Linked DNA regions of Canis lupus familiaris. The protein of the gene in region 5 purifies or fractionates together with the protein of the main gene of each other region. This does not show direct contact. Links are inferred from orthologs where the notes say so. Each region holds a gene or a part of one and is shown on either strand. Other genes may lie near its edges.

The links.
Region 1: the proteins of EXOC3 (region 5) and EXOC1 purify together in Homo sapiens (affinity purification with mass spectrometry; 5 studies listed by BioGRID and IntAct, counting the BioPlex papers as one, with this or other methods). This does not show direct contact. The link is inferred for Canis lupus familiaris from reciprocal best matches to the Homo sapiens genes EXOC3 and EXOC1.
Region 2: the proteins of EXOC3 (region 5) and EXOC6B purify together in Homo sapiens (affinity purification with mass spectrometry; 3 studies listed by BioGRID and IntAct, counting the BioPlex papers as one, with this or other methods). This does not show direct contact. The link is inferred for Canis lupus familiaris from reciprocal best matches to the Homo sapiens genes EXOC3 and EXOC6B.
Region 3: the proteins of EXOC3 (region 5) and EXOC7 purify together in Homo sapiens (affinity purification with mass spectrometry; 5 studies listed by BioGRID and IntAct, counting the BioPlex papers as one, with this or other methods). This does not show direct contact. The link is inferred for Canis lupus familiaris from reciprocal best matches to the Homo sapiens genes EXOC3 and EXOC7.
Region 4: the proteins of EXOC3 (region 5) and EXOC2 purify together in Homo sapiens (affinity purification with mass spectrometry; 6 studies listed by BioGRID and IntAct, counting the BioPlex papers as one, with this or other methods). This does not show direct contact. The link is inferred for Canis lupus familiaris from reciprocal best matches to the Homo sapiens genes EXOC3 and EXOC2.
Region 6: the proteins of EXOC3 (region 5) and EXOC8 purify together in Homo sapiens (affinity purification with mass spectrometry; 5 studies listed by BioGRID and IntAct, counting the BioPlex papers as one, with this or other methods). This does not show direct contact. The link is inferred for Canis lupus familiaris from reciprocal best matches to the Homo sapiens genes EXOC3 and EXOC8.

The regions. Positions count from the first base shown.
Region 1 is NC_049234.1:48,920,104-48,924,998, forward strand, and holds part of EXOC1 (exocyst complex component 1), read left to right. Parts: intron 1-373; coding exon 374-450; intron 451-968; coding exon 969-1,197; intron 1,198-4,895.
Region 2 is NC_049238.1:51,118,838-51,123,732, forward strand, and holds part of EXOC6B (exocyst complex component 6B), read left to right. Parts: intron 1-3,011; coding exon 3,012-3,138; 3' UTR 3,139-4,895. UniProt on the Homo sapiens protein: Component of the exocyst complex involved in the docking of exocytic vesicles with fusion sites on the plasma membrane.
Region 3 is NC_049230.1:5,416,245-5,421,939, forward strand, and holds the start of EXOC7 (exocyst complex component 7), read left to right. Parts: upstream 1-2,037; 5' UTR 2,038-2,135; coding exon 2,136-2,195; intron 2,196-2,382; coding exon 2,383-2,448; intron 2,449-3,579; coding exon 3,580-3,764; intron 3,765-3,947; coding exon 3,948-4,053; intron 4,054-5,695. UniProt on the Homo sapiens protein: Component of the exocyst complex involved in the docking of exocytic vesicles with fusion sites on the plasma membrane.
Region 4 is NC_049256.1:2,150,174-2,154,268, reverse strand, and holds part of EXOC2 (exocyst complex component 2), read left to right. Parts: intron 1-43; exon of another isoform or gene 44-556; coding exon 557-618; intron 619-2,885; coding exon 2,886-2,945; intron 2,946-3,512; exon of another isoform or gene 3,513-3,803; intron 3,804-4,095. UniProt on the Homo sapiens protein: Component of the exocyst complex involved in the docking of exocytic vesicles with fusion sites on the plasma membrane.
Region 5 is NC_049255.1:11,955,291-11,960,818, forward strand, and holds the start of EXOC3 (exocyst complex component 3), read right to left. Parts: upstream 3,208-5,528; 5' UTR 3,155-3,207; intron 3,020-3,154; exon of another isoform or gene 2,893-3,019; intron 1,572-2,892; 5' UTR 1,525-1,571; coding exon 1,381-1,524; intron 1-1,380. UniProt on the Homo sapiens protein: Component of the exocyst complex involved in the docking of exocytic vesicles with fusion sites on the plasma membrane.
Region 6 is NC_049225.1:8,511,165-8,516,541, forward strand, and holds the start of EXOC8 (exocyst complex component 8), read left to right. Parts: upstream 1-1,562; 5' UTR 1,563-1,710; coding exon 1,711-3,894; 3' UTR 3,895-5,377. Other genes in the region: DNA-dependent metalloprotease SPRTN, read right to left, coding at 859-1,079. UniProt on the Homo sapiens protein: Component of the exocyst complex involved in the docking of exocytic vesicles with fusion sites on the plasma membrane.

The DNA.
Region 1 (4,895 bases), on a different chromosome or scaffold from region 5:
AGATTTCTTTAATTTTTAAAATTCTCTCTTAAAAGTTGTTTCTGGGTTTTTTTGAGCTACCTTCCCCCCATTCCCACAGCCCCTCAGAGCCTTCTGTAATTTCTCTGTCCACACTTTCCCTTCATGGGACACACAAGCCTATCTTCTCAGCCCACAATAATTCTCAGATAAAATCTAAGAACAAAACATTTTATAAACATTCTTAAACAACATACTAAATTATATAGTTTTATCAGTAATACTACCTTTAAAAATCATTATTTTTCATAATCTATTCTCTCCTAGGAATTTTAAGACTGAGCAGGCTTTTGCTATATAAACTAGTCAAATTGTTGGTCTTTTATTATGTAAAGTACCTGAATAATTTTTGCAGACTGAAGCAGAGGACCTCGATGGAGGACCATTTTCCCGGCAGCATAATGCTGGTGTGCCACTGCCTGTTTCATCTGAGTATGTATTTGTTACTATCCGTTGTTTATTTTGAAGGGAAGAAGGAGTACTGTTCACTGAGGAGCCAGATGATTCTGGTATTTCACAACACTCAGAACACTGACATGTCTGCCCAGTGCCTTAAAGGTCTGAGTTGAAATTCGTCCTGTTGTCTGACCCTTTAGCTCTTTTTTGCTGTAGTGATCACACACACACACACAAAAATGCAATCAATTTTAATGTTTGCTGGTAAGAAGTAGCATTTGAATTGCAGGATATTTCTCAGAAATTACAAAGCACATTTCAGGATCCAGCTTTACACATGATACAAAGTTATATTTTGAGTAATAAAACTTCAAAAAATATTTTTATGTTGGAAACTGCTGTATGATGAAATTGTTCATCATGAATGGACATTTTTAATTAAGATATAAAATTTTAGTTATTTTGTGTATATACTGTGGATTAAAGTTAAAAATAAAGATTAAAGTTATAGAAACCTGTAATAAATTCCTATACTTTGTGTGTTTTCTGAACAGGAAAGATATGATCCGTCAAATGATGATTAAAATATTTCGCTGTATTGAGCCAGAACTGAACAACCTAATTGCATTAGGAGATAAAATTGATAGCTTTAACTCCCTTTACATGCTTGTCAAGATGAGTCATCATGTGTGGACTGCACAAAATGTAGACCCTGCTTCTTTTCTGAGTACGACATTAGGAAATGTTTTGGTGACTGTCAAAAGGAACTTTGACAAATGCATTGTAAGTTTGTTTTTTTAAAATCACTTAGAATTCTAATCGTTGCAAGAAATAGGTAAATGTATTTAAATCAAGAGATTTCCAGTTTTTCATTGGAGGATCTACTATTCCCATCCCTCAAAGTCCTGAAGTAGAGTATTGGCTGCAATTTATGTGAACAGAGTTAGTTGGGTGCTACGGTGCTAGCCATTTCCCCTTCTACACTGTGTATGAATCTTGGCAAGTTCTGGAGTAAGTGGCACTGAGGTAGCAGCTGCTTGAGAGGTCTACTAGGTGACTGAAATCTCAGTTAACTGATTAGTGATCATAAATCACATAAAACAATTGAAACTATCATTTGGATTTATTGTTGTTCTTTTTTAAATATGTTCTAATAGGAAAATTAATAATTAGATTATTTTAATTGTTTAAATTATTGACTTAATTAGTTGTTTTAGTTTACTCACTTAATAGCTTTAATTAATAATTATATTGCTTTATTTTAAGCATCCATTGTTCTTTGGGGCACCTGAGTGGTGCAGTTGGTTAAGCATCTGACTCTTGGTTTCCACTCAGTTTGTGATCTCAGGGTCCTGAGATGGAGCCCTACATTGAGCTCTGGGCTCAGTGCCCTCCTTCACCATCCCAAATAAATAAATAAATCTTTTTTTTTTAATTCTTTAAAAAAAATAGAGAGTACATTTTTCTTATAATAACTTCCAGCAATCATTATGTTCTTCCTTCTAATAGGAAAGAAAAATCATTAACAACTTTATTTTTGTTCACTAGGTTTTGGTAAGCTTGTAGATATGATTTGGGCTGGGCCAGGTTCTAAAATCAAAGCTTCTAGTTAGTGTGTAAAAGTGGATGTCTATCATCTGAATATTTCTACTATGTAACTTCTAAGTTATATCCAGCTCTTGAATATTCATAAAATAATAGGAGATAAAAATATTAAGGGCAGGTAAAATCCACATCATTTTTATACTTTTGGAAAATATTTATTGAGTTTTTAAAGTATGAAGGCAACCTACGTTATCTATAGAAACCTAAATGTCACCTTCTTAGTCCTCTCCTTACCACATGATTTCTCTTGGTATTTGAAATACTATGAAATTTGACCCTTATCCTCTTCCCTCTCCCACCTTCTCCTGTGGTGATACTAAACCTAGAGGATCTGACTGCAAGCTGAGAACCAAAGGGAGAATGAAGAGTGGCCAAAGGCTAAGATAATGAGTCCCATGTGACCCAGTAGAAACACTAAATCATGAGACACTGTACATTTCCAGCCTATGAAGGCTTTGTTGCTTTTATTAGTAAAATATAACTTTATATAATACCTGTTAATCCAACACAACATAATTGTTAAAAGTATAGGATGTAGTATCAGGTAGAGGTAGATGTGGGTTCAAATAAAGTGCTTATTAGCACACACTGCCTTGCATAGAAGTAAGGCCTTAGTGATAGCTCATAATGGTGGTGCTGCTGCCGCCGTGGTGGCAAGTAATAATAGTTTATTAAAGAATGTTCATGTTATTCAAGACAGAACAGTGGGAAAACAAAGTAAAATTAACTTAGACAAAGGTATAAACTCAGTATTTTCTCATAAAATCTAAAGGATTTTTCTTTTGCCACTAAAGGGACATCTCTCTGTGTCCTATTTTAACTCCTGTCTTCTCACAGCTTCTGGTGAATAGTGTGTACTCAGTACATTTTGGTATTTGGGACAAGACTAGGATCTAAGGCATGCCTTGAAAAGGTAGTGAATGGGCTTGTTTGTATTGACCCAAAAGCATGAATGTCAGATGGCTGTAGCAAATGGAACAGATAGCACCTGAGTTTGGTTCTTTCACCTAGTGGCCAAGCTCAAAGTATCTGCTGTTCTTCAAAGAACACAACAAGACTAAGGAGGCTAGCCTAAATTGTGCTAGAGCTAGTTAGAAAGTGACAGGGGTGCCTGGGTGGCTCAGTCCGTTGAGTCTGCCTTCAGATCCTGTCCTGATCCCAGAGTCCTGGGATGGAGCCGCACATGGGGCTCCTTGCTCAGCAGGGAGCCTGCTTCTCCCTCTCCCTCTCCCTACTGTTCCCCCTGCTTGTGCTCTTTCTCTGTCAAATAAATAAATCTTTTTTTTTAATTTATTTTTTATTGGTGTTCAATTTACTAACATACAGAATAACCCCCAGTGCCCGTCACTCATTCACTCCCACCCCCCGCCCTCCTCCCCTTCTACCACCCCTAGTTCGTTTCCTAGAGTTAGCAGTCTTTACGTTCTGTCTCCCTTTCTGATATTGCCCACACATTTCTTCTCCCATCCCTTATATTCCCTTTCACTATTATTTATATTCTCCAAATGAATGAGAACATATAATGTTTGTCCTTCTCCGACTGACTTACTTCACTCAGCATAATACCCTCCAGAAATAAATAAATCTTAAAAAAAAAAAATTAAGTAAGAAATCAAGTACTACCAAGTTGGGCCCTACATTATGATCTGCATTTAATTTACTTTCCAAAATTCTTCACACTATAGTGATATGGATTTGTGCTCTTAAACCTTTGAGAATGATATGATTTGGTTAAATTGCCATGGACAAGGGATGGATAAGTAATATAGTGATGTGTGCCTTGCATCCAACTTGTAGTCTTAATCACTGAATAACCTCTATGTCGAGTAATCTGCTGCAAATAATGCATACATTGAGCTTGAGAGAAATTTTGCTTTTATAAGATTTAGTTCATTGATGGCTTTTCTTTTGAGAGAAAGAGCATACACACACGTGTGTGAGTTGAGAGGAAGGGGCAGAGGGAGAGAGAGAGAGGGAGAGAATGTTAAGTAGGCTCTAAGCCTAGCACAGAGCCCAACACAGGACTCAGTCTTATGACCCCGAGATCATGACCTGAGCCAAAACCGAGAAGCCAATGGCTAACTGACTTGAGCCACCCAAGCACACTCATGGCTCATTTCTTAAATAAATGCATTGTCTTTTTCTTGTACCAATTACAACCAAGCATCATTTAGGATTATTTTTTTTTTCATTTAGGATATTTCCTGTTAAAGTTTAAGTATATTCGGGCTATAATTATATCCTGTGCATTTAAATGGCGCACTGAAGAAAAATCCTCATGTAGCTTAATAATGGCCATAGACCAGCATTCATAAATTAGTGCTTACTGTATACCAGGCACTGTTCTAAGCACCTTGCACATATTAACCTCATCTGATCTTCACAACTTCCTCTCCCCTACATAAGATAGATTCTGAGGGGTTGTGTTATTTTTCCCAGGTCAACAGTAAAGAGTGATGGAATTAGTATTCATACCCAGTCTGTTTCCAGCACCTACAGTCTTACACTACCCTCTATTACTGCATCCATTTTTACTTCTCACAATTACAATACTGATGCAGTGGAACACCTCATAGTATTCTTCAGGTTCACTTGGTCCACACTACTGCAATAAAGCAAGGATCACAATAAAGCAAGGAGTTATTGAAATGAAGTTAATTCAGATGAATTTTTTGGTCTCTCAGTACATATAAAAGTTATGTTTATATTATACTGTAGTCTATTGGTGTTCAGTAGCATTATGTCTAAAAAACAATGTACATAACTGAATTTAGAAATACTTTATTGCCAAGAAATGCTAAGCATCATTTGAGCTTTCAGTGGGTCATAATCTTTTTGCCGATGGAAGGTCTTCACTCCATGTTAATGGCTGCTGG
Region 2 (4,895 bases), on a different chromosome or scaffold from region 5:
TTTGAGGCGAGTCCTTCTGGTTTCCTCACTGACACTAATGACTGCACTAAATCCCTACCCTGCGAGGAGTCTCCACCCTGACATACTAATCTACTAAACTGGCCTGGTGCCAACTGGCTGGCTATCTCCTCTGTCCTTGGTCCTTAGAGTGACCATTGGCCTCCCAATTCCTATGGGGCTGGAGCTGGTGGCAGGGATTATTCCCCCCGTGGGTGCCAGGTAAAAGATTGTTCCCACTCAGCTTCCTGGCACAGTCTATGCCCTTGCTGGTGCGAAGCTTGAATGTCAGCCCTGACAGAAGGGAGCTCCTCGGCAGTCTCCCCCACTTCCTGGTGGTGAAGCCCATGGTGTTATGATCTGGAACCCCTGTCTACTGTGGAAGACTTTTTATTGGAGGCAAGGCCTAATCCCAGCTGAAATGAATGTCCCTCATTGCAGGCCTCTCAGTTGGTGTTTAGACGTCATACTCACTGTGTGTCCAAACAGGCTGTGGGATTCCCTTCTATTTCCTTCTCTCAACAGTCCTTGACTTGTCTGTTCCTAAGAATCTCTAGATCTGAGAGAGAGTGCCTCATCCACTTTCTGTAGATCAACAATAGGCTAAAAGAATCAGCCTCTCTATAGCATTCTGAAGGCCTGAAAGTAACATAGCCATGTGCTTGTCCCTAGCAATCATCAGAGTTTAAAAGCTTCCTCCCAAACACAGTTGGGCTAGAGGCCACCCAGATCACTAATATTCCTATTTCCCAGCCTCATAGGAATCAGTCCTCTTACCTGACCCTTTCCTGCTTTCCCCACAGCCAGATATACCACAGAGCTTGACAATCTCTCCTTTTCAACCTGGCATTTCTTGGCAGGGTGAGACGTAAAAAGACCCAAAGACACGCTCAAGACATTCAGGAAAGAGAAGAGGCACCTATATCATTGAGAGGTGGCTATAGCCAAAGTAGATCAGAATCCCAGGAGGGGAGGGGAGAGGAGAAGGGCTACCCTTTGGACTGGGAGCATTCCAAGGCACACACTGGCACACCACCATCAGCCATCAGGGCACATGAGTTTATCTTTTGAGTAATCCCAACTCTAGGCCTTAATGGTCAAGAACTCCTAGCCTCTGAGGCTCAGAGAGCACCCTCTTCCTCCCTCTCTCCTACCTTATTACAGGAGCTGCCTTATGGGAGTTGAAAGCCAGTTCTGGCTCCCCGTCTCTGGGCAGCTTCGAGGAGTCATGAAATTAATGATCACATAGGACCTTAAAACGACCACCCTTTACGTGAAGGGAGTGCTTTTTCTTCCTTCCTCCTTTCTTTCTTTTTTGTTTTATGTTGTTTTGTTTAGATTCATAGCATATTCAGCAAAGGAAAGGGAGTCCTCTGGGATAAATAAATAAATTTTTAAAAATAAATAAATAAAGCCAGGCAAGTTCCACAAACATAATTGTGCAATTAATGTGCAAGGGATCAAATACAGTGATCACCATAGCCTCGAGGATCCTGTGCTTTCTTATCAACCAACCTCTGTCACCTCTCCTTCTTCCTCACCTCCAAGCATAGACCTGCACATGTGGGTGGTTGTACCCAATATTCAGTGTTCTGAGTTCGCTTAAGGAATTCCAACCTGCAAGCCCTTAAGCTTAGATCTGAGAGAAAAGTCTCAACTCATTTATGGCTGTTAATGTCAGCCCCAACCACCCAGTTTTGATGCTTATCAGAATATCCTGAATATAAATGCCCTTGTAGCATCTCTAGCCTTTTGACCCATTGGCCTCAAATCTGCCCCTGTGCACAAGGGCCACCCCATAGGGGAAAAAAATGGACCAGGACTAGCTGAAGGCCCCTGGGAAGTTTACCTGGAGGTAGATTACCAGGGTTAACAGGTTCCTTCTCCCCAGCCCTTCTTCTGACCTATCTCCGTGCAGCTCAGGGAACTGTGAAGTCAGAGAGCCAGCCAGGCTCCTGGGGGATGGTGGTGAAGACTACCTATACCAACCCCAAGAAGTTGGTCTGGGTGGTGTTCTTAATTCTCTAACACCAGAACTAGCTGTGGCCTGGAGGTCCAGTGTGCAGAGGCTGAGGCCAGAGTTAACAGGCAGATATCAGAGGTTATGAACTCTGCAGGGATTAGTACTTTCCCACATTCTATCACAATGGCTCACTCAGACTTGGGTGTTTCTGTGAAGCCCCAGCCTGGTCTTGACTTTATCCATGCTTCCTAGTTGTCTTTCCATCTGGCCACAACCGTTGGCCAGAACTACCCATGGTTTGTGCTCTAAGAATATGCCATCTCTGGAGCTTTAGCAGGACCTGGTAATAGAAAGCTCTGCAGAAGTCAAAGGTCTGAGGGTATGGACAGCCCTCAAGTTCTCAGGGGCTTCTCTTGCCTAAAGTTCTGGCTCCAGTGAACGGACGGTCCCCCTGCTCTCCTCAGCACCATGGACTCAGCCACCGCCTCTGGATCTTTGTCCCTACTCTGGGACAAAAGAGATCAGTTGAGCCTTTAGTTTTGTTATGGATGGGAGAGAGTAACCGGCTGCTGAAGTTTAGAAAGACACAGTGGCTTTCAGTTATTCATTTCCTCTTGGAATTGCTAGTTGAGAGGATTTTTCTGCTTTATCTTTCAAATACAAGCTTTAAGATCCCAGCAGGATTTCATAAGCTCATGAGATGATAAGTGGATCCTAGATATTCTAAGAGCCTATTGACCATCAGGGCTTTAGCATGCTCCACATACCTGTAACAGGTGCATACCTGGAGATAGAAAGTAAGGAAATAGGTAGGGTGGGTCTGGATGATAGGGGGTCAGCCCCTCCAGAGCTGGCTTTTGACTATCTTCCAAAGGTGAAAGCAGGACAGCTTTCCAAATAGAAGGTAAGTACGGGCCTGCAATGGAAATATTCCAGACTCTCAGCTCTGAGTGGAGGCGAAGATGCACTGTGCCATTCTGCCTCCTGCCAGTTTTTCTTCCACCATCATCTCCTCAAACACTTTGCTCTCTCTCTTTCTTTCTCTGTTTAGGATGAAGGACACCAGCCGCAAGAACAACATGTTTGCACAGTTTCGGAAAAATGAACGAGACAAGCAGAAATTGATCGACACTGTGGCCAAGCAGCTCCGGGGACTCATCAGCAGCCACCACTCATGAAGGCTGGCCTCCAGCCCACAGAGGCCACCCACGACAGCCCCATAGTCCAGGACCCAGCCCTGGCTGCCCTGCATTTGTGCATTCTTCTTCAAAGAGAGCAAATGTATTTTTTTAATAACATATGTACAGTATTCGCATAATCTTTCCCTATAGTAAAAGAGGCACAAGGAAAAGCAAGTACGTGAGAGGTTGCTAGGCTGGGATTTAGGGGAAGTTACACTGCACTATCTGTATTAGCCTAGAGATGGTGGTATCACCAGTCCCAGGATGGTGAACCACCTTTCATCATGGCTCTAGGTCTGGGGCTCAGGAATGACACAAACGAAATGGGTACTTGGCTCTGGGAGGTAAGGTGAGTAGGCAAAAAGAGAATAAAGTATTTCCTGTTCACTCCCTGGTGCCCCATTCACCACATAGGTGAGGTTGGCTCTTCCTGATACAAGGAGGGGACCCGGAAAACATCACTGCTTAGGGTATGAAAGAGCAGCACACAGTTCTGGAGGTTCTTGCCTCTTCAGTCCACCAACTTTCACTGGCTGTGGAACAAGCATGGCATGTGGCCAGAGGACACCTTCACTCCAATCTCCCAAGCTTGGCAGTTTGTTTAGCCCAGATCTGACCTGGTGCTTTTACTGCTAATTGTTCTGGGACAAGACAGAGCTGAGTATACAGTGGTAATAATTGGACTCCATGACTAACTGCAGGTTGCGCCACACTAGGAGGAGTTTTATTGGCTCTTGAAAGCCAGTGTGAATGGAATCAGAGCCTTGGTCCCTTCCCTGTTCATCTCGTTGTCTTCTTTTCAGGGTCAGGGCACTTGGTTCAGAGCACAGATCAACAGTTATTTCTGGAGCTCTTCACAGAGAGTCTCAGACTTGGCCTCCTTCAGTAGTGTCATTGGGATAAGTCAGATTCCAGAAGCCTGAAAATGGCCCTTGCTTTACCCCGAGGTAAAACCTGAAGATTACTTGGGAGTGTTCCAAGTAAACATCTTGTATCTTAAACCAAGGCTTGTATCTTAAAACCAGCCTTCTGGCCGCCATCTTTAAAAGAATATTATCAGCCTCTGTGCTGTAGGGGCAGCTGCTGCTAGACAGGATGCCTGTGGGGATGGGGCCACTGTCACCATGAAGTAGACGGGGCCAACCATGGCTAGTAGTTTGTCACTAGTGGCCCAACTCTCCCTTACTAAGTCATATGCTAGATATGAAGCTCTTACGGAAGCCCAAGCCTTTCCATCCTCTCTCGAGATCCCCATAGCTATCTTTTGGCCCCATCTGTAAACCGATCCCACACATTCTGGAGCTTGCCGGGGGAGTCTGGACTGTAGCTTGGAGGCTGTGTCCACTGTCCCAGATGGGCTCCTGACATTAGTGCAAGGGCTTTGCTGTGAGGTCAGTCAGAGGAACCTTCACTTTAAAACTCTCTAGGCAGGTGCTCCCGTGGCTATAGACAAGAGTATAATTGTGCATCCCCAAACAATGACAAATAAGCCACACAGGCATTTCCAGCTTGGATTAGTGGGAGGAGAAACTCATCAAACAGAATTCTTCACTATGTTTGTCAGCTACTGAGTTGCTTCTAGGGAGGGCAGTGCTTCCTTTTTCATTTCCCACCCCAACCACCCGTAGCCTACCCGACTTGCAAACCAAGGGAGAGAGGTTATGCACGCAGACATGAGCCTTCCACAAAGCTGAAGAGGCCAGGCTGCCTGGAAGCTCTGAAAAAGCTTTTTAAGGCTTACCTTGAGTCCCAGG
Region 3 (5,695 bases), on a different chromosome or scaffold from region 5:
AGACAACAGCTGTGCCTGACTTGTAAGTTTATTGTGAGGATTAGACAAGATAAGGAGGAAGGATGGTGTTTGTAACAGAGAGAGACAAACAGAAGGCTCTCAATACCGGATAGCTGGCTACCAGATTACACTTAGTAAAGGGGATTTGAGAAAATATAGAAAAGCACACAGATATGTATTGTATTTGCAAAAATGCCATGATATTGTGCCGAGTTCAAAGTATTTGTTCATGATTACAGGGATCCTAAGACTTACAGAGCAAGACATTATCAATATTTTTCTTTGAGCATCTACCCTGGGCTTGGTGCTGTTCAGAGATGTAGGTGCTGAAGGGGGCTCTCTGGGCTGCTCTACCAAGTCCAAAGTCCTTCCCACCGTAGCCCTCCGGGCCCTCATTCTGTACTGTGGCACCTGTTTTAAACTTTCCCCTTGGGCAGCCGGGGTGGCTCAGTGGTTTAGCACCGCCTTTGGCCCAGGGTGTGATCCTGGAGAGCCGGGGTTGAGTCCCATGTAGGGCTCCCTGCATGGAGCCTGTGTCTCTGCCTCTCTATCTCTCTCTCTGTGTGTGTCTCATGAATAAATAAATAAATAAAATCTTTAAAAAAATAAAATAAACTTTCCCCTTTACTTTGTTCTCAGGACTGCACAAGGACCTCCTCCGTGAAATCATCGCACGTGCCATTCTACAATGACTCTGCCTTTTTATCTCCTCCATCTGCCACAGGGCTGCACTTCTTGGTGGTTTCCTTCAATACCACTTTTGTGGCCACCCACCAGATCTGAAACTGTCCTGCCCCAGCAGAAGAGCTGCCCAATCCCTCTCCAGGCTCTGGGTCCCCTTTCTTCCTCCTCTTGGATGTGGGGAGTCCTGGGGGGGAACACTGTGGTTTAGTATCCCGAAATATCCTCACACACCAGGTCACGCCTTGTTGTCTATCCCCTTCTGCTTGGATGCCAGATACATAGAGGACCTGAGGAAAGCCACACAGCTATTTATCTCCCCAAGGACCAGGACCAGAGGCAGAGTAGGCAGGGAAGGGATGGAAGAGGGAGTGGCATTTAGGTTTTTGCAGGAGCTCTGTCTTGTGGTGAGAGCAGAACATCCAGCTTTGCAGGAACCTTGATCCAGGAGCATCTCCCCTGGAGTTGTGGTTAGAGTAGCCTCGGGGCAGAGGACTTAGAATGTTTTGGAATTCTGGAGAAAGGACCTTGCTGGCCCTCCAAGCCTTTCATTGCCCCAAAGCCTCTATGAGAAATGCTCCCCGTGTGTCTGAATCCCTGTAGACAGGCGACCATCTCTCTTTAACTGACAGTAGTTACCGAGCTGGGCCCCAATCCCTCAGACAGGTTTGAGAACTTTCAGCCTTCCTCTTGCACCTTTTCCAGATCTAGGTAAGCTTCCAGCAGAAGACACCTCACCAGCAGCCAGGTTCTCACTCCCAACAAATAAAACCATACAGCTCTCTCCAAAACAGACACCCTAGGGTGAGGCTTGGACAGCAAGCTCCAAGCCTCCCGGGGATGGATGGATGCTCCAAGGACTCTGCAGCCCCAGGAATCTGGCTGGGCTCCACACACGCCAGGTTTATGGTTATGGTTGCCACCAGGGCCTTGGGCCACCACTCTGTCCCCAGCCCCCAGCTCGGGGCTTGCACACGACGCCCCTTCATGCTTTTGTGTAATGCAGGCCCGAAGGAAGAAGCGACAGCACAAGCCCCTGGTTCATCAAGTGGCCACGTGTTCGGGGCCCACTCTGTGACACGCTCTGTGCTGCGGCCTGCGGGGAACGCGACATCCGCGCCTGGACACAAAATGCGATCTAGTGAAATAAGCATGTGTCCTTCCCCAGCAGCCTTTGTCAAAAGGGCGAGTCTTCACACGAAGACCGCAAGTGAGCTCCAGCCGTCCAGCTACTTGCGAACCTTCTCTGACAATACAGGGAACACGCACTTGCCACACCCAAGATGGCCACTTGCCCAGACCCGTTATCCAGTTCCGCCTGCCACTCCCAATATGGCACGACTAGCGCGCCACTGGGTGGGGCCAAAGGCGGAAGTGGGTGTGGCCGGGACGGGAGCCGAGAGGGCACACAGAGAGACAAGGCACAGGGCGGTGGGAGCCGCTGGGCCGAGGCGATGATCCCCCCGCAGGAGGCGTCCGCCCGGCGGCGGGAGATCGAGGACAAGCTGAAGCAGGTGAGGCTGGGGAGCAGGTGAGGGAAGGGACCAAGGTCCGGGCCAGGGCATCTGCTCTGGGAGGAGGCAGGGTTGGGAGGGAGCACCCCCTGTGGGGAGACGGCGTTGGGGGCGAGGCCGCGGGGCTGAGACGCGCGGTTCTTTAGCCTCGGGCTTCTTGTGGTCTGCTCACCTCCGCTTCCCCCAGGAGGAGGAGACGCTGTCCTTCATCCGAGACAGCCTGGAGAAGAGCGACCAGCTCACCAAAAACATGGTGAGTAACCCCTCGGGTGGGAGGGGCGGACAGGCCGTTTTTGCGTAAGGCCCGGGGTTCGAACCCGGGTCGCGAAGCTGGTAATGTGTGGGGTGTCTCTTACCTAGCTCCCTTGGCCTTTTCTGCCCCATCACTGAGGATGCCGCAGCCCCTGCTGGTGCAGACTTTCCGCTTTCTGCACAGGCTCTCCATTCTTCCTTCTCTCCTAACACAAACCTCTAGCGACACTGACTTAGGTGGGCTGGGTACTGGTCGTGTGCCGTCCTCACCTCGGGTGATGACCAGAGGGCAGGAGTGGCCTGAGATTTTGTGATGACTGAGGGCAGAGAAAACTCAGCCTTCACCTCAGAGGGCTTTAGGGGTCGAAGGAGCTTTGAAATCAAACAGAGCTGGGATCTGGTCCTCGCCTCTCCCTGTATTTGTGTGTGGCTCCTGACAGGTAGGTAACTCTGAGCTTCGGTTAACTCACCTACTAGAAGCAGCGATGCCAACCTCCCGGTGTGGCTGTGAAGGTCGTAGGAGCCAATGTTTGGGAGTGCATCTTGCATAGTACTTGGTCTACAACAGGTGCTCAGCAAATAGGAATTTCCTTTCTTATTTCTAGAGGAGACTGGAAAAGCTCAAATTGAGTAGATGCAAACTGGGTATGTGCCCAGGAATACAATCATCAAGTCTTAGTCCTTATCTAATGAGATTGGCCGAGAGAGAGAGAGAGAGAGAGAGAGAGAGAGAGAGGGTTTTGAAGGTACTAGCAATGCATTTGAGGCGACTCTGTATGAAACTACTTCTTGTTCAGGCTAGGAAAGCTTCCAAGAGAAGTGAAGTTGAGATTTAGCTTCAAAGGGTGGAAGGGAAGCTATCCTGGGTGATCATTTAGAATGAGTTCCATTTGCTGTGTGGCTTGCCTTCAAGTCAAACTTCCTCCACTTTACTTGGACCACCTCCTTTGTGCTGTGCACATGGTAAGTGCTGGGGATACAGTGGTAAACAAGGACACCGTCTCCCTCCCCTCATGGACGAATTATTATCTAGGAAACCAAAGGAAAGGCTGCAAATGTCGAAGAGCTTGTGGGTGGGTGGAAGCAGTCCTGGGACAACCCCAAGTCCTGAGACTGGGCTGTCCCCCTGCAGGTGTCTATCCTGTCATCCTTTGAGAGTCGCCTTATGAAGCTAGAGAACTCCATCATCCCTGTGCACAAGCAGACTGAGAACCTGCAGCGGCTGCAGGAGAATGTTGAGAAGACTCTGTCCTGCCTAGACCATGTCATCAGCTACTACCATGTGGCCAGTGACACTGAGAAAATCATCAGGGAGGGGTGAGCTAGGGCCAGAGGGTCACATTGCCAACACCTCTTGGGCCAGTGACAACGCTAGGCTTTTGAATATATTTGAGCCCAGAATCCGTTGTGTTAATTCTCTTCCCTTCTAGATTCCATTCTCTTGGTCCTTCTTCTTCATCTTCCATCTGCCCAGGCTGATGCAGCTCTTTGCCTTCACAGCCCCACAGGCAGGCTGGAAGAGTACCTGGGGAGCATGGCCAAGATTCAGAAGGCTGTGGAGTATTTCCAGGACAATAGCCCAGACAGCCCAGAGCTCAACAAAGTGGTGAGAGGCCCGTGGGTGAATGTGGGAGGTTTGGGGACACCAGGCCCTGCCCTGGTCTCATGAGGGACACAGGGCCAGCTTAAAGGAGAACCTAGTAGAAGAAACAGTTGTAGGCAATGCAGTATGCATACTGCAGGCATGAAGACTTCTGCCTTTGAAATTATAGATAACATATTTTTATTATGTTTTTATAATTTAAACTAAATTACACATCCAATATAAATTTCATATTTGAGCTTTATACATTCATTTGTGTTTTTTTCTGTTGTGGTACAAACATAATATAAAATTTGCCATTTTAATCATTTTTAAGTGAGCAGTGGCATTAAGTACATTCACGTTGTGCACCTGCCACCCCCATCCATCTCCAGAACTCCTTCCATCTTCCCAGAATGAAACTCTTGCCCACTAAACATTTAACTCCCATTCCTCCTTTTCCCCAGCCCCTGGCAAGCATCATTCTCCTTTATATCTCTATGAATCTGATTGTTCTCAGAACCTGCATTCGTGTTTTCATGTTTGATTTCTTTGTTTTACAACTTTGTGTTTAAGTATTAGAGTTAGCAGGTGACCAGAGCAGAATGGGGTAAGGCTAGAAAGTGAGGTTGTCTCAAGGCACCAGGAAAAGGGGAGAATGCAGACCCGAAAAGTGGTAGGAGCGGAGCCCCAGACCTCCCAAAGCGGGAAGAACAGTAGAGGAAGGGTCAACTCAGACCTAGTCACCCAGCACACCTTCCTGTTGGCACTACAGTTCTCACCCCAAGTATATGTCTTGCCCAAAACAGGAAGTAAGCGAGATACGCAGATGGGAACCTGGCCTTTCTCAAACCCAGAAAGCTTTTGCTTAGAGCAGTACTTCCCAACATTTCTCCCATCGGGGTTTGTGATGGAAGTGAGGACATTTGTATGTCACACTGGGGTGAACTAGTAACCAGGCAGTGGTTTCTGGCCACCCAAGGTTCTTTCTTCTTGCCTGGAGGATTGGCAGGATCAGTACCTTGGAACACCAGTCACCAATGGGGACACACCAGTGTCATCAGTGCACTGCAGCACATGGGTGGAGGGCCTGTCTTGCAATTAGGGTGTCAGGGACTGGACAACTTTGTTTTGGGGCTCATTGCTAAGTTTGGATCGTGGAGTGAAGAGCTATCCTAGAACTTGGGCGTGGGGCTAGGGTGGAGACAGAACACGTTAGCCAGAGGTCTCAAGAGGATGTCCTCCTCGTTCAAGCAGAGATGGTCCAACTCCTTCCTCTCTCGTGTTTGAAATACCTTTATTGAGATATAATTATTTCTTGAAATGTAATTCACATACCATAACAATTGCTCATTTAAAGGATGCAATTCAGTGGTTCTAGTATAATCATGGAGTTGCACGACGTCACTGGAACCAATTTGAGAACACTTCCATCACCCAAACAAGAGCCCTGAACCTACTGGCAGCCACTCCTCTCTGCTCTTCTTCCCAGTCACGTGCCCCTGCTAGTCCATGGTCTACTCTGTTTCTCCAGATTTGTTCATTCTGGGCTTCTCCTGTGAATGGTATCATGTAATGTGTGACCTTTTGTGTCCACCTTCTTTGACCTACCATAATGTGTTTTTTAAAAGATTTCATTTATTCATTTGAGAGAGAGAGAGAGAGA
Region 4 (4,095 bases), on a different chromosome or scaffold from region 5:
TTTTTATTAAAAAAAAAAAAAAAAAACAATCATCAAACAAACAAAAGCCGGTGGTGATTAAATCTGCAGAGCTTTGTTTTAGATTTGAGATTAAAGTCAGTGTACCCAAAAGGGCATAGGTATAAGAAAGTAAGCCAGTCTGTTTCCTTAAATAATCCAGGGACAATGTTTCAAATTTTGCTTCCTCTCACAATCATACTAAAGGAAACATTACTGGTTAGGTAGTGAATACAGATTTCTGGAAAATCCCTGTATAGGTTGAACCTTTTTATAACAAATCTGACTCCCTGCCTTCACAGAGTCATACTTGACTTTGAGTTAATTTTGAGTTAGTTAATTTTAAACTAGTAAAAAACTAGTTTGTCATAGCTGATTTCTTTGGAGTGTTGTAGAAAGTCTGTTCATAGTTAGTAGGTGGCAGGTGGTGGGGAACCACGTGCTGGCAGTCTTCTGTCAACCGTCTCTGCAGTAAGCAGGCTGAGACTATCTGCTCATCGCTTGTTTCAGTTTAATAATTGATGCAGTTCCCCTCACTTTTTCCTTTTCTCATCCTTAGGCACGGCTTGAAATCTGTGCTTTGAGAGATACTGTGGCTGTTCACCTGACACCTGAAAGCAAGTGAGATGCTAAATGTTTTTGTTCTGAATGCTTCATTAAAAATAAAGATTATCTTATTAGTATATAAAATCCTTTGTAAAGATAACTGGTCAGAGTGAGTGCTCATGATTGTGATGTGATAAAGTTTACATTGCATTAATTTTTTTCGCTAAAAAGCATAATAAGCCAAAGACTCCTAATACTGGTTCTCTGTAGCATAATATAAAGGAAAAAAAGGTTTAATATGATTTTATGTTTTTCATTCAGTAAGATAAATCTTAATCTCATAAGTGATATAGCAGAGCATTATATATTTCTGTTGAAAAGGAAAAAATAAGAATTGAGTCTTAATCTATTCATAGCAGACTCTGAGGGACCGTTTAAGCATTGTAAATATCAGCATAAGAGGAAGCCTTGTGGTTTCTCTACAAAATTTTGTAGTGGAAATTTGATGATAACTTTTAGCTGTTTTGAATGAAAGTCAGGATTTCCTATCGAAATATCAGTAGGTGAACTGAAACATTACTGACTACTTGCCTATACAAAATTGTTTACTCCACTGGCAGTCGTGCCTAGGAAATACTGGGCTATATTGTTAATATGCCTGAGAATCCAAGTAGTATAGAAATAAAATGTCTAAGGACACTTGGTGTGATACAGTTACTCATCTCCAGCTTTTGAGGACATGCCTTACACCATCACTTGTACAGTCATTATCACAACTAAAAAGACTTTCAACAGTTTTTCCTAACAAATGAAGTTAGCTTCTTATTCCTGTTCCTGATGGCTGACCAGAGCCATTCTGGATGGTTCCCATGTTAGTTATGGAGCCACACCTTTTCCCAGTCATCATTTTTCTACATAAAGTACTAAATAATAGATAATAGAGGGCACTCCACTGAGTCCATATTTGATGTGGGTACATGCTTCATGTAGGCACCTAGGTATTCCTTTTAATTTAACCTTTAAGAGCATGAGTTCCTCATCTACACAAGAAAGATAATAAGTAGTTTCTAGGCAGAATTTTGGGGTAATTAAATGAAAAAATGTGCCAAGTTACCCCCTAGCCTGTTGGTGTACTGCAAATAATCAGTGGTATTGTCTTCATCATCATCATCATTACTGTCATAATGTAAAAATAAAGAATAATAGCATTACATTACTTTTTGTTGATTGAGAAGAGATTTAAGATGACGTGATAACAGCAGAGACTCCTCTCTGCATCAGGAAAGAGGAAAGTCGACTTCATAGTGGGAAGGGAGCTGAGTTTGCCCACAAGCTGTAGCCTGTTCCTTGCCCTAACCAGGAACAACTGAAGTTTCCAGGACCAGTTTTTATAACCCTCTTGGAACTTCGTAGTCTCTCTGTTTGCTGCTGTGATATTTGCCCCTCGTTTGAGAAACCTCGCCCAAGACAATGTTTGCTAGGGCACTGGTGAGGGTCCAGTTTTACAATACAGGATCAAAGACCACCTTAAAGTCAAGAATAATCACATTTATTTCTTTACCTTTAGTCAATGTTATAAAAGAAGAAGAGATGAGAAGTTAAAAATTATTCCTTAGTGACCAGTATAAGTCATTACCAAAGGATTTCCCCTCAAGTGCTTTTTTTTTTTTTTTGATTCGGTAGCTTTTCTGGTAGTTTCTACTTTAAAAAGTTAAGCATACCAAATCGGTGGGTTTTTTAATTCACACCTTTTTAGGTTTTCATGAAAAGAAAGGATGTTGAATTAAAACCAACCAGTCAATCCCCACTTACCATACAGATTTTAAATATGATAATAACTAAATGCTGTGGACTGTTTAATTAATGTAAATCAGGCCCTCTACATGTTAATACTATAAATGCCCCCATTTGGTAATCTCTCACAGGATCATCTCTATTTCTAGTTCGTTTCCTCCCTTTCTTACCAGTTGCTTTACTAGTTCAGTTTTGTTCTGAAAAGACTTTAAAAATTGAACATTTCCATATTATGAAGCTCTCATCTACCGTGAGTAGCACCCTGCTGTCAAAATCCGTCTCTTTTAGCTTTTCAAGCCGTGTTTCATTTCCTTGTTGAGTTTTCTGACCCTGCTCCTGCAGGGCCTCCGCCTGGGAACCATACCTTGTACCCTCACTTTTACTTTTACTTTTTCTATTGTTTTTCACTTTTACTTTTTCTACATGCTTCACTGGCTTATACAGGTTCCTTTACATTTAAGATGTACTTAAGAGTTCTCAGTGATGCTCTTGATCCCCCTTAGAAATATGAAATGTTCCAACTTGAATGTTGCCTGTCTGTGTTCCAGGTCGAGTTTTAAACAGGCTTTAGAAGCCCTGCCTCAGCTTTCAAGCGGAGCAGATAAAAAGTAAGTTCTATGTGCCGATTTCAAGGGCAGCTCAGATGTGTGAGCAAGGTTCTGTTACCTCGAAGGACTGTTTGAATAGGTAACGGTTTGGGCGTCAGGATGTACCCGACGGCCCCTGGCAGCATGCGTTACGTTGGCTGCACCCGGCCTGTGTCCCAAGTGCAGAAAAGGTAAAACCTTTCCCCTGCGTTTATGGCACTTGAGACATTAGTTCTGTTCTTGTTTTAAGTGACTAATACAGAAAACATTTTAAGAAAGTTTATTCTGACTCAGTAAACTATATCATTGCCCTAGATTTTTAAAAAGATATTAGAGAAATGTAAGAAGGGCAGCATAGTAAAATGCAGAGCTTGATGATTTTTTTTCCTTGGAGTAGCTCAGCAAGGTGGTTTGTTTTGTTTTTGTTTTTGTTTTTTTTGTTTTTGTTTTTGCTTTATATATTGCAAAGTAGTAAAAAAGTGAATTTGTACACGTGACATAATGAAATTATATACATTCCATTAACATTATGTTAATGGTTTTGCCCAGAGTTTAAACTTTGCTACTCACAAAAGAGGAGATTCTGACCTGAGACAAAATGTAGGCCAGGCAAATCTCAGAAATGCTCTACCCCCGTCAGCTGGGGTAGCGGAAGCGCTGTAGGTCTTTGCTCCTCCACTCCCCGTAGCTGAAGTCCATCCGCCTTTGCATTTGGCTGCTCAGTCCGCAGACATGAAAACCGTGGTGCAGGCTCTGTGATTTCGCGCAGGAGACTGTTCTGGAACCCAGGGGGTGGAGAGAACACGTGTTCTAGTTCTGAGCTTTGTTAACCCCACGAAATCATCTTCTCACCATTAAGCCCACTTCTTGGTGCTTCATCTGAAACAAATGATCTCTTAAGATCCTTTCTGGCCCTAAAATCAGACATCAAACCAGTTAAAGAAACTGAGTCATCAAGTACTAGGATAATTTGCCCACCGAGTTACAGCGGACCCTGATTCTCCTGGCGCCTAATTCACCACCTCCGTTTAGCACTCTCCAATATTTGTTAAAAACGAGAATGCAAAACAGGAGGAAAAGACAAATAGGCCAGGGGTCAGGATGAGGAGAAAGGTGGCCGCAAAGAGGCAACACAAAAGGATTTGGATTTGAAGGGTTGTTAGGTTGCTAC
Region 5 (5,528 bases):
TCAGGACTTGCTCATCAGCTTTGAGCTAGAAGGCCTCCTGCCGCTCAGCCAGGACCAGACTCAGCTCAAGGAGGGTTGGCCCCACCGTGCAGAACTGGTACATCTGAGATTTGAACTCACTCCATGGGCATGCCGAAATGCCATCAGCAAGGGGTACAGCCAGAGGGAGGGGACACGGAGGAGTGTAAGTCAGTGGAGAGAAAGGCCAGGAACACATTTGACCCAGGAGCAGGAAGTTGCCCATGGAAATAATTAATGGTGATGGTAATGGACTACAGAAGGTTTCTAGGCCACAATGATGATTCTCAGTTAATCCCACAAGTTTCTGAAACAGATTAAAATGCTGACTAAAAATGTAGCAGATCCAAACTATTTCATAAATTAAAGTAAAACTACTGTTTTAAGTAAGTCCAGTCTTTGGAGGCTTCATTTTTGGTACAAATGAATGATCCTCATCCTGTCTCATCAAGCCTGCTGCTGGTGAGTTTTCAAGGGGAGAGGTGAGTTCACTGTCATGAGAGTGTGAAAATGAACTTTCCTCAAAGGCATTCTCTTTACCCCAAGGACCGCTCTGCTGCCCATCAATCACCACAGACCATGATCCTAATGTTTTTATAACTACACTGAATGTATGTGTTTTAACAAAACCTCACCTCTTCATACAAATTAAGTTGAAAGCAAAAGCAATCATAAAATACCTTGAAAAAGAATAATTTTCTTTCTTGCCTCTCTGTCACATTCTTAATTTATATGCCTTGCTCTCCTCCCTCCTTCTTCCCCAGGGCCAACAGAGTACCCGGCACAGCCAGCCACTGTGTGCTGGAAAGTTCTAAACAAAATGCCTTTTAACAAATAAGGATAGGTGCTATGCTTCCACTATTGTTTAAAAGTTTTTTTTTTTTAATTTTTTTTTTAATTTTTATTTTTTTTATGATAGTCACAGAGAGAGAGAGAGAGAGAGGCAGAGACACAGGCAGAGGGAGAAGCAGGCTCCATGCACCGGGAGCCTGACGTGGGATTCGATCCCGGGTCTCCAGGATCGCGCCCTGGGCCAAAGGCAGGCGCTAAACCACTGCGCCACCCAGTGATCCCTATTGTTTAAGTTAAACGGACACTTCTAGGTGCTTAAAACTTTGTTCCTTCGTTGTTTCCAGTATTCCTGCTATCTTCTCTATAAATCTACTGCCTGGTAACGTAGTGTTGGAAGGAATGTCTTAAGTAAAGCTGATGGTCTAATTCTGTCTGTTTCCAGATCATCACCACCGAATTTACCGAAATGACAATCGTGATGTTGTGCAGGAACCCGAAACTCCATATCCATGGATCTATCCTGACTGGGAGTAAAGATCTATCCCGACTGTGGCCTCTCTGGTCGTGTACCTTCAGTCTGGCCTCCACGGATGCCTTCTTCCGGGCCTCTCTTCTGCGGTACTGCTCCACTTTGTCCAGCTGGTCCGGGCGCTGAAGCATCCCAGCAACCCTCTGGACAGCTGTTGCTACAGCCTCCCGGTCTGTCTCCTTCATGGTTAGAGAGCAGGTGGGGTGTCTGCACCAGTCATACTAGAGGAGTCCTGTGTGCACAGGGAGAGAAGGGAGCAGGAGGGGAAGACAAGTTAGGACGGGACAAAACTCATTCCCTGTAATGGTCAGCTGTTCACAGACACTAAAGGAGAACTTCTGACAGCACTACTCCAGCAAAGCTGAACTCCTTAATACACCTTCAGGGCGTGATCTGGAGACAGCTGTACCTTTGAGCAGAGGCACGTACAGTTAAAGCTATGAACAAACAGAGGATGTGTTGATGTGGCCTGCAGACCCCTCACCCTATCAGAGGTCCATCTCCAAGGTACTTCTCTCCCGTGGACACAGCCAATTTCTGGAGCCTTCACAGCAGCTGTTGGCCACACCGGTGAGGCAGCAGAGCCGGGAGGCCGCAGTGAGGAACTGAGGCACAGGACCAGCAGATGCCTCAAAGCCTCACCCACCCTCAGCTCAAGTCCCAGCACCTGCCCTAGGGTTCCCCTCAAAAACCACTACTGGGGCACCTGGGTGGCTCAGTCCATGAAACACCTGACTCCTGATTCTGCCTCAGGTCACCATCTCACCGTCCTGAAATGGAGCCCCAGGTCAGGGCTCTATGCTCCGCAGGGAGTCGCCCTCAGATTCTCTCTCTCCGTCCCTCTGCCCTCCCCCACCTGCATGCGTGTTTGCTGGTGGGCACACTCTCTCAAATAAATAAATCTTTAAAAATGTTTAATAATGTTTTTAAAAACCATCACTGTTTGTAATATCTGAAACTCCACTGGTACATTTAGGAGGCGTGACAAACAAGACAAGAGGGCAGAGCACAGGTGCAGAGCGCACAGGCTTGACCCCGAAGCCAACCTACCATCCACCCCAGCGGCTGCGGGTGCCGGTGCCCATGCCCAAGGGGCCAAGGACAGGGTCTGGTAAACACGCGGCCCCCTGAGCCCCACACCTTACAGGCCCTCGGCACCCATGCTTTCTGTACACAACTTCTTACAATGATGAGAACCACCCCTCTTCTCCCTGGTCCTACCCCCAGCCCCGGTGCTCTCAGCAGAACCCTGAAGGCGCGGCAGGTTCCCAGCGCCTTCCGCACGCAGGTGGCCCTCCCGCCGCTTCCACACGAAAGCCAGCGGGGCAGGAACACGCGGAGGGCAGGGGCGACGGCCGACCGACACCCAGGAGGCCGGCGAGGCCACCGCAGGTACCTCTGCACCTGCTCGGGTCCTCGCCGGCAGCGACTGCACGGCCGCTCCCCTGCACCCCGCCCTCACGCCCCCGCGGCGCCCGCCCAACCACCCGCCACCGGCCCCGACCCGGGGACCTAGCCTCCCCCGCGCCTCCGCCGCCCCGCGTCCTCCTCACCCCCGCGGCGCTCCACGGGCGGAGATCCCGGGTCCGCGGCGAACTCGCCCAGCCGGGGGCGGGGCTCCGAGGGGCAGGGCCCGGGGCACCGCGACGCCGACGCCTCCGCCTCCGCGCGGCCTTCCGGGCCGCGAGCTCCGGGGACGACAGCGCAGCGCGGACGTGCTCGGGAGCTGCCGCCCCGCTGCCCGCTTCCCAGGCCCCAGACCCCGGCGCCCACCGCCCGAGCCGCCCGCCGCCGCGGCCACCCGCGACCACTCACCGCAGCCGCCGCCCGCCGCCGCCCGCCGGAAGTGAGCGAGCGGGCACTTCCGCTTCCGGTCACGCGCCGCAGGGGCGGGGCCTGGGCTCTCTGAGAGGCTGCTGGAGGCGCGCTGGGCTGGGGGCTCGCTCCCTGCACGCTCCCGGGGACCGAGACCTCAGGACGGGGTCCCCGCTCCCTGGACTCTCCCCGGGGACCGAGACCCTCAGGACGGGGTCCCCGCTCCCTGGACTCCCCCGGGGCATCATGACCCTCAGGACGGGGTCCCCGCTCCCTGGACTCTCCCCGGGGGACCATGACCCTCAGGACGGGGTCCCCGCTCCCTGGACTCTCCCCGGGGGACCGAGACCCTCAGGACGGGGTCCCCACTCCCTGGACTCCCCCGGGGCACCATGACCCTCAGGACGGGGTCCCCGCTCCCTGGACTCTCCCCGGGGGACCGAGACCCTCAGGACGGGGTCCCCGCTCCCTGGACTCTCCCCGGGGCCTGAGATCCTCAGGACGGGGTCCCGGCTCCCTGGACTCCCCCGGGGGACCGAGACCCTCAGGACGGGGTCCCCGCTCCCTGGACTCTCCCCGGGGACCGAGACCCTCAGGACGGGGTCCCCGCTCCCTGCACGCTCCCTGGGGGACCGAGACCCTCAGGACGGGGTCCCCACTCCCTGCACGCTCCCCGGGGACCGAGAGACCCTCAGGACGGGGTCCCCGCTCCCTGGACTCTCCCCGGGGGACCGAGACCCTCAGGACAGGTCCCCGCTCCCTGGACTCTCCCCGGGGGACCGAGACCCTCAGGATAGGTCCCCGCTCCCTGGACTCTCTCCGGGGACCGAGACCCTCAGGACGGGGTCCCCGCTCCCTGGACTCTCCCCGGGGCACCGAGACCCTCAGGACGGGGTCCCCGCTCCCTGGACTCTCCCCGGGGCCTGAGATCCTCAGGACGGGGTCCCGGCTCCCTGGACTCCCCCGGGGGACCGAGACCCTCAGGACGGGGTCCCCGCTCCCTGGACTCCCCCGGGGGACCGAGACCCTCAGGACGGGGTCCCCGCTCCCTGGACTCTCCCCGGGGCCTGAGATCCTCAGGACGGGGTCCCAGCTCCCTGGACTCCCCCGGGGGACCGAGACCCTCAGGACGGGGTCCCCGCTCCCTGGACTCTCCCCGGGGACCGAGACCCTCAGGACGGGGTCCCCGCTCCCTGCATGCTCCCCGGGGGACCGAGACCCTCAGGACGGGGTCCCCGCTCCCTGCACGCTCCCTGGGGGACCGAGACCCTCAGGACGGGGTCCCCACTCCCTGCACGCTCCCCGGGGACCGAGAGACCCTCAGGACGGGGTCCCGGCTCCCTGGACTCCCCCGGGGGACCGAGACCCTCAGGACAGGTCCCCGTTCCCTGCATGCTCCCCGGGGGACCGAGACCCTCAGGACGGGGTCCCCGCTCCCTGCACGCTCCCTGGGGGACCGAGACCCTCAGGACGGGGTCCCCGCTCCCTGGACTCTCCCCGGGGGACCGAGACCCTCAGGACAGGTCCCCGCTCCCTGGACTCTCCCCGGGGGACCGAGACCCTCAGGATAGGTCCCCGCTCCCTGGACTCTCTCCGGGGGACCGAGACCCTCAGGACGGGGTCCCTGCTCCTTGCACGCTACGCTCCCCGGGGACCGAGACCCTCAGGACAGGTCCCAGCTCCCTGGACTCTCCCCGGGGGACCGAGACCCTCAGGACAGGTCCCCGCTCCCTGGACTCCCCCGGGGGACCGAGACCCTCAGGACGGGGTCCCCGCTCCCTGGACTCTCCCCGGGGACCGAGACCCTCAGGACGGGGTCCCCGCTCCCTGCACGCTCCCCGGGGGACCGAGACCCTCAGGACGGGGTCCCCGCTCCCTGCACGCTCCCCGGGGACCGAGAGACCCTCAGGACGGGGTCCCCGCTCCCTGGACTCTCCCCGGGGGACCGAGACCCTCAGGACGGGGTCCCCGCTCCTTGCACGCTCCCCGGGGACCGAGACCCTCAGGACGGGGTCCCCGCTCCCTGGACTCCCCCGGGGGACCATGACCCTCAGGACGGGGTCCCCGCTCCCTGGACTCTCCCCGGGGGACCGAGACCCTCAGGACGGGGTCCCCGCTCCCTGGACTCTCCCCAGGGGACCGTGACCCTCAGGATGGGGTCCCCACTGAAGACTCTCTGGCACTCAGACTCCACCCCAGCCTGTTGTGGTGAGAAGCACCATTTGCCTCAAATCTGAGTGAGGGATGCATCGTGTGCTCAGGATGGACAGGCACCTCCTGGAATCAGCCACATTCACACACAGGAGGGACTCAAGCAGGCAGGACCCGGAGTAGCAGGGAGGAAGGTGCAGTGCCCTGCGGTGTGGATGTGAGC
Region 6 (5,377 bases), on a different chromosome or scaffold from region 5:
GTTAGGAGATATCTTCAGATCACCCCAGTGAGAGAGAGGTGTGAAGAGAACTGCATCCCTTGCCCTAGCCAGGTTGCAAGAGGCCAAAGACAATCCTGTTCTGCGGCTCCCAGTCTCCTCCCTTCAAACTATAATCAGTTTGTGGTAGTTAACAGCCAGATCTCCATCGGCGCATCTCCGAAAGCGTAAGAGAAGCCTTTACGAAGGAGATTTGTCCTTTTAACCAGTTTTATGTCCTATCTTAATCTGTCTTAGTTTAGGCTGTTTTGTATTACTTCAAAGACAAGCACCGTGGTGTACAACCATATTAAAGCTGTTAACTCCGTTCATGAGCCGGAACAGATTACTTCAAATCAGGAATTCTCTACTTTAGTGAACATCCTTTTAGAGGCATCCCCGAAGATCCTTTCGGTCCAGAAATACGGAAACGTCAGCCCCGTCCCCCTCCTAACACCTGAGCTCACTACCAAGTGGTGACATCTCAAAGGGCACAGAAGAGGACAACACACATCTCTGGGAGGCTTCGCTGCCTCCTCGGCATTCTTTCTTAGGGGCTGACTCTGGGTGCTTCTCCCTCCTGGGTCAGAAACGTGTTAATTTATTTTCAAGTGAGGGGAGATCCAAAGACATCCTTTTCTCTCCCGGTGTCCTTTACAAATCAATCGGCTACCGGAATGGGCCACACAGCTAGCTTTCTTAAAGTTGTTGGAGAGGGAGGGAGACTAGGGGAGGGAGAGGGACAGCGAGAGGAGCTGCTGGTGTCCACCACGAGACCCCCAGGTTTCACGCCCCCCGGGACCGGGGGCTGCAGAGGAGCTGCCAGCCGCTCTCGCTTCCCCAGCGGGGCTCGGGACTCACAGGGTCATTCGCAGGCTCCACTTCACCTCGACGGCCTCCAGCTGGCCCCAGAAGAACCGATCGTTGAACTGCACAAACAGGGCCTGCAAGTCCGGGGTTGGGTCCACCAGCTCCCAGGACGCGTCCACCAGCGACAGGGGCGCCTGGGCCCGGTCGCGCTCCGATCCCTGCAAGTTCCACTCCTCCTGAAGCCGCAGTGCCAACACCAGATCCTCGTCCATCTCTGCCGGGATCCCAGGCGGCGTCCGAAGGCGTTAAGCAGGCTCCACGGATCCCAGGCTCCGAGAGCCTGGTCGAGCTCCTAAGAAGTACCGGCTCTCGGGCGGCTCTCGGGCCGGCCCGCCGATCTCGCGAGAACTCAGGAATAACTGGCTCTAGAACGAGAACTGAGTTTGCCCCAAACGCCGAGGCCAAGATTCTGGGGCTTAAAAAAGAGAACTCTGCAGGATACCTCCTAGTGGGCTCAAAACGGGGGCTCCCAGGGCCTGGACTCTAGGAAGGCGTCAGGAGACTGGCTACCGCCTTTACGCTCCGCCGCTCACTTCAAACACAAACGTCACGCCCGGCCCATGCGCAGTACCGCGTCTCGCCGCCTCGCCCTCCACTCTCTTCCGCAATAGCGCCTCCGGCGCATGGGCTCTAGGCCGCGGGCGCCCCTGCGCATGCGCGCTGCCTGCGCCCGGCCCCCTGCGCAGGCGCGGTGCCCGAAGCTCAGGCTCGGGCGCAGGCGTACTCGTCTCTCTTCCATCCTGCTTCCTCAGCCCCGGAGCTCGGCGGGGCTTGGGTGGGTCTCGACAGCGGCGGCACCGGCGGCGGCGGTAGTGACAGTGGCTTCGTGAGCCTCGGACGGAAATGGCGATGGCGATGTCGGACAGTGGGGCGAGCCGCCTGCGGCGGCAGCTGGAGTCGGGGGGCTTCGAGGCGCGGCTGTACGTGAAGCAGCTCTCGCAGCAGTCGGACGGCGACCGGGACTTGCAGGAGCACCGGCAGCGCATCCAGGCGCTGGCGGAGGAGACGGCGCAGAACCTGAAGCGCAACGTCTACCAGAACTACCGGCAGTTCATAGAGACGGCCCGCGAGATCTCCTACCTGGAGAGCGAGATGTATCAGCTCAGCCACCTGCTGACCGAGCAGAAGAGCAGCCTGGAGAGCATCCCGCTCACCCTGCTGCCGGCCGCCGCCGCCGCCGCCGCCGGGGCTGCCGCGGCCTCGGGCGGGGAGGAGGGAGGCGGCGGCGCGGGGGGCCGAGACCACCTGCGGGGCCAGGCTGGCTTTTTTCCCGCTCCCGGGGGCGCCTCCCGCGACAGTTCGGGTCCGGGCGAGGAAGGGAAGCAGCGCACCCTCACCACCTTGCTTGAGAAGGTGGAAGGCTGCAGGCACCTGCTGGAGACGCCGGGGCAGTACCTGGTGTACAACGGGGACCTGGTGGAATACGAGGCTGACCACATGGCGCAACTGCAGCGGGTGCACGGCTTTCTCATGAACGACTGCTTGCTGGTGGCCACCTGGCTGCCACAGCGGCGGGGGATGTATCGCTACAACGCCCTCTATCCCCTGGACGGTTTGGCCGTGGTCAATGTCAAGGACAACCCGCCCATGAAGGACATGTTCAAGCTGTTGATGTTTCCCGAGAGCCGTATTTTCCAGGCGGAGAATGCTAAAATCAAACGGGAGTGGCTGGAAGTGCTGGAGGAAACCAAGAGGGCCCTCAGTGAAAAGCGGCGAAGGGAGCAGGAAGAGGCAGCGGCCCCTCGCGGACCACCGCAGGTGACTTCCAAAGCCGGGAACCCATTTGAGGATGAGGAAGAGGACGAACCAGCTACTCCTGAGGTAGAAGAGGAGAAGGTGGATCTCTCAGTGGAGTGGATCCAGGAGTTGCCCGAAGACCTGGATGTCTGTATCGCGCAGAGGGACTTTGAAGGAGCCGTTGACCTGCTGGACAAATTGAACCACTACCTAGAAGATAAGCCCAGTCCACCTCCTGTTAAAGAACTAAGGGCCAAAGTGGATGAGCGGGTCCGACAGCTCACCGAGGTGCTAGTTTTCGAACTGTCCCCGGATCGTTCCCTGAGAGGCGGTCCCAAGGCGACTCGAAGGGCAGTTTCTCAACTCATCCGCCTTGGCCAGTGCACAAAGGCTTGTGAGCTGTTTTTGAGAAACAGGGCAGCAGCTGTGCATACTGCAATACGTCAGCTTCGTATCGAAGGCGCCACTTTACTCTACATTCATAAGCTCTGCCACGTGTTCTTTACCAGCCTTCTTGAGACTGCGAGGGAATTTGAGACGGATTTTGCAGGCACTGACAGCGGCTGCTACTCTGCCTTTGTGGTCTGGGCGAGATCAGCCATGGGCATGTTTGTGGATGCTTTTAGCAAGCAGGTGTTCGATAGTAAGGAGAGCCTCTCCACGGCGGCTGAGTGTGTAAAAGTGGCAAAGGAGCACTGTCAGCAACTGGGTGACATCGGACTGGACCTCACCTTCATCATCCATGCCCTTCTGGTGAAGGACATCCAAGGGGCCTTGCACAGTTACAAAGAAATCATAATCGAAGCCACTAAGCATCGCAACTCTGAGGAGATGTGGAGGAGGATGAACTTGATGACCCCAGAAGCCCTGGGCAAACTCAAAGAGGAGATGAAGAGTTGTGGGGTAAGAAACTTTGAGCAGTACACAGGAGATGACTGCTGGGTGAACCTGAGTTACACGGTGGTTGCCTTTACCAAACAGACCATGGGCTTCTTGGAAGAAGCGCTGAAGCTGTATTTCCCAGAGCTGCACATGGTGCTTTTGGAGAGCCTGGTGGAAATCATCCTGGTTGCTGTGCAGCATGTGGATTATAGCCTTCGGTGTGAGCAGGATCCGGAGAAAAAGGCTTTTATCAGACAGAATGCGTCCTTTCTGTATGAGACCGTCCTCCCTGTGGTGGAGAAAAGGTTTGAAGAAGGTGTGGGGAAACCCGCCAAGCAACTCCAGGACCTGAGAAATGCATCTAGACTTATTCGCGTGAACCCCGAAAGTACAACATCAGTGGTCTGATGCTTGGCTCTGTGTATATGTATACGTATATATTGCTTATATATTATTTATATTTATATTAAGTTGCATTAGGATACTCTTTATAGTCTTGAACACAGCTTAAAAGTAAAAGACACCCTCTCAAATAAAAATGCAGAATCAAAAGAAAAAAAGAAAGAAAAAGAGTTCAAATTAAGCCCAAATAACAAAACATTGGAATTATTAAAATATATGCTTCCTTTTTAAATTATGCTAACTCTCTAATGAATATATTGCCACACTATAGCATTTCAGTGTATCCTTTTGAGTCATAACACACTTTCTTACAGTATATATTAGGCAGCACAGAAAAATAATATAAGTATGTGGTGTTTAAGTATGTTGTGAAGTTTCCCCGTTCACTAAAATGTTAGGTATCTTTAAGAGTACAAGTGCCGTGCAAAACGACCTGCTTCATACACTCCCCCCGCCTTAAAATGTGATCAAACAATTTTGGGAAAAGAAAGGAATTGAGAAAATTGATTTTAGGGTAAATTTTGGTCAAAAGAATACCTTCTTGAAAGTGGCTAGTTTGTGGACTCAAATACATGGATCCTTATAGAATACAAGGGGAAGCTTTCAAAAAAAAAACAGCTCAGCAAACATTGCCAATGTAATTTGAGTGGCTCATTATTTTCACCTAATTAGCAGCTTTCTAATACTTGATTTGGGATCACTTACTTGAATCTTAAGGACTATAGTAAATTTTTTTTCAACATATTCCTGAACCATGTGAATTTTCAGCTGCAGCTTTTGTCTTTATCATACTAAAAAATTAAAATGATTTTAAAAAGAGAGAAAGAGACTGAGGAAACTGGCAGCCTCCCGTGATTTTTAGCTGCTTTCCCCCACTTTCCATTGCAAATTATATAGTGGCTCAGACTTCATGCAAATGGGAGAAAAGTTTTCACTGAAATATTTGTTTAGATGTCAGCATCTGGGTGCATGGGAAATTAGGAAAAATATACAAACCGCTATTGTTCTCAGTACGACTGCTTTGAGCAGAGATTTTTGTTTTTTTAAGCAAAGTGAAGATAAAGGTGAGATAATGTACCCAAGGCCAAGGGAGAAAAAGAACTTTTGGTGACTCCCACTAAAATGCTACGTGCTGCCTTTTTCTCGTTTTATTTTGTATTATCCTTTGTTCTTAAAAGTAAATATAATGCTTCGGATTGTTTAGTAAAACGAAAAGAGCTAAAGAAATTTGAGCTTCCCAAGATTTCTGAACGACTGCTTCTATTGTGCATTGATTATATTAAGATTCCTCATACTTTGAGAGAAATTATGCTAAGATCCATTTTTTCCTCTAGCTTCCAGTTGTGATTCTTGTCCAAACGTGCCATTTGATGCCAAGGACTTCCAAAGGTCATGTCTTTTATCTGAATTAAAATAGTGGTATTAAGACTGGAAATTATGTAAAACTGAAAATACCTTCCAAGAGTGGCTTAGGGTTTCTGAAGTTCCC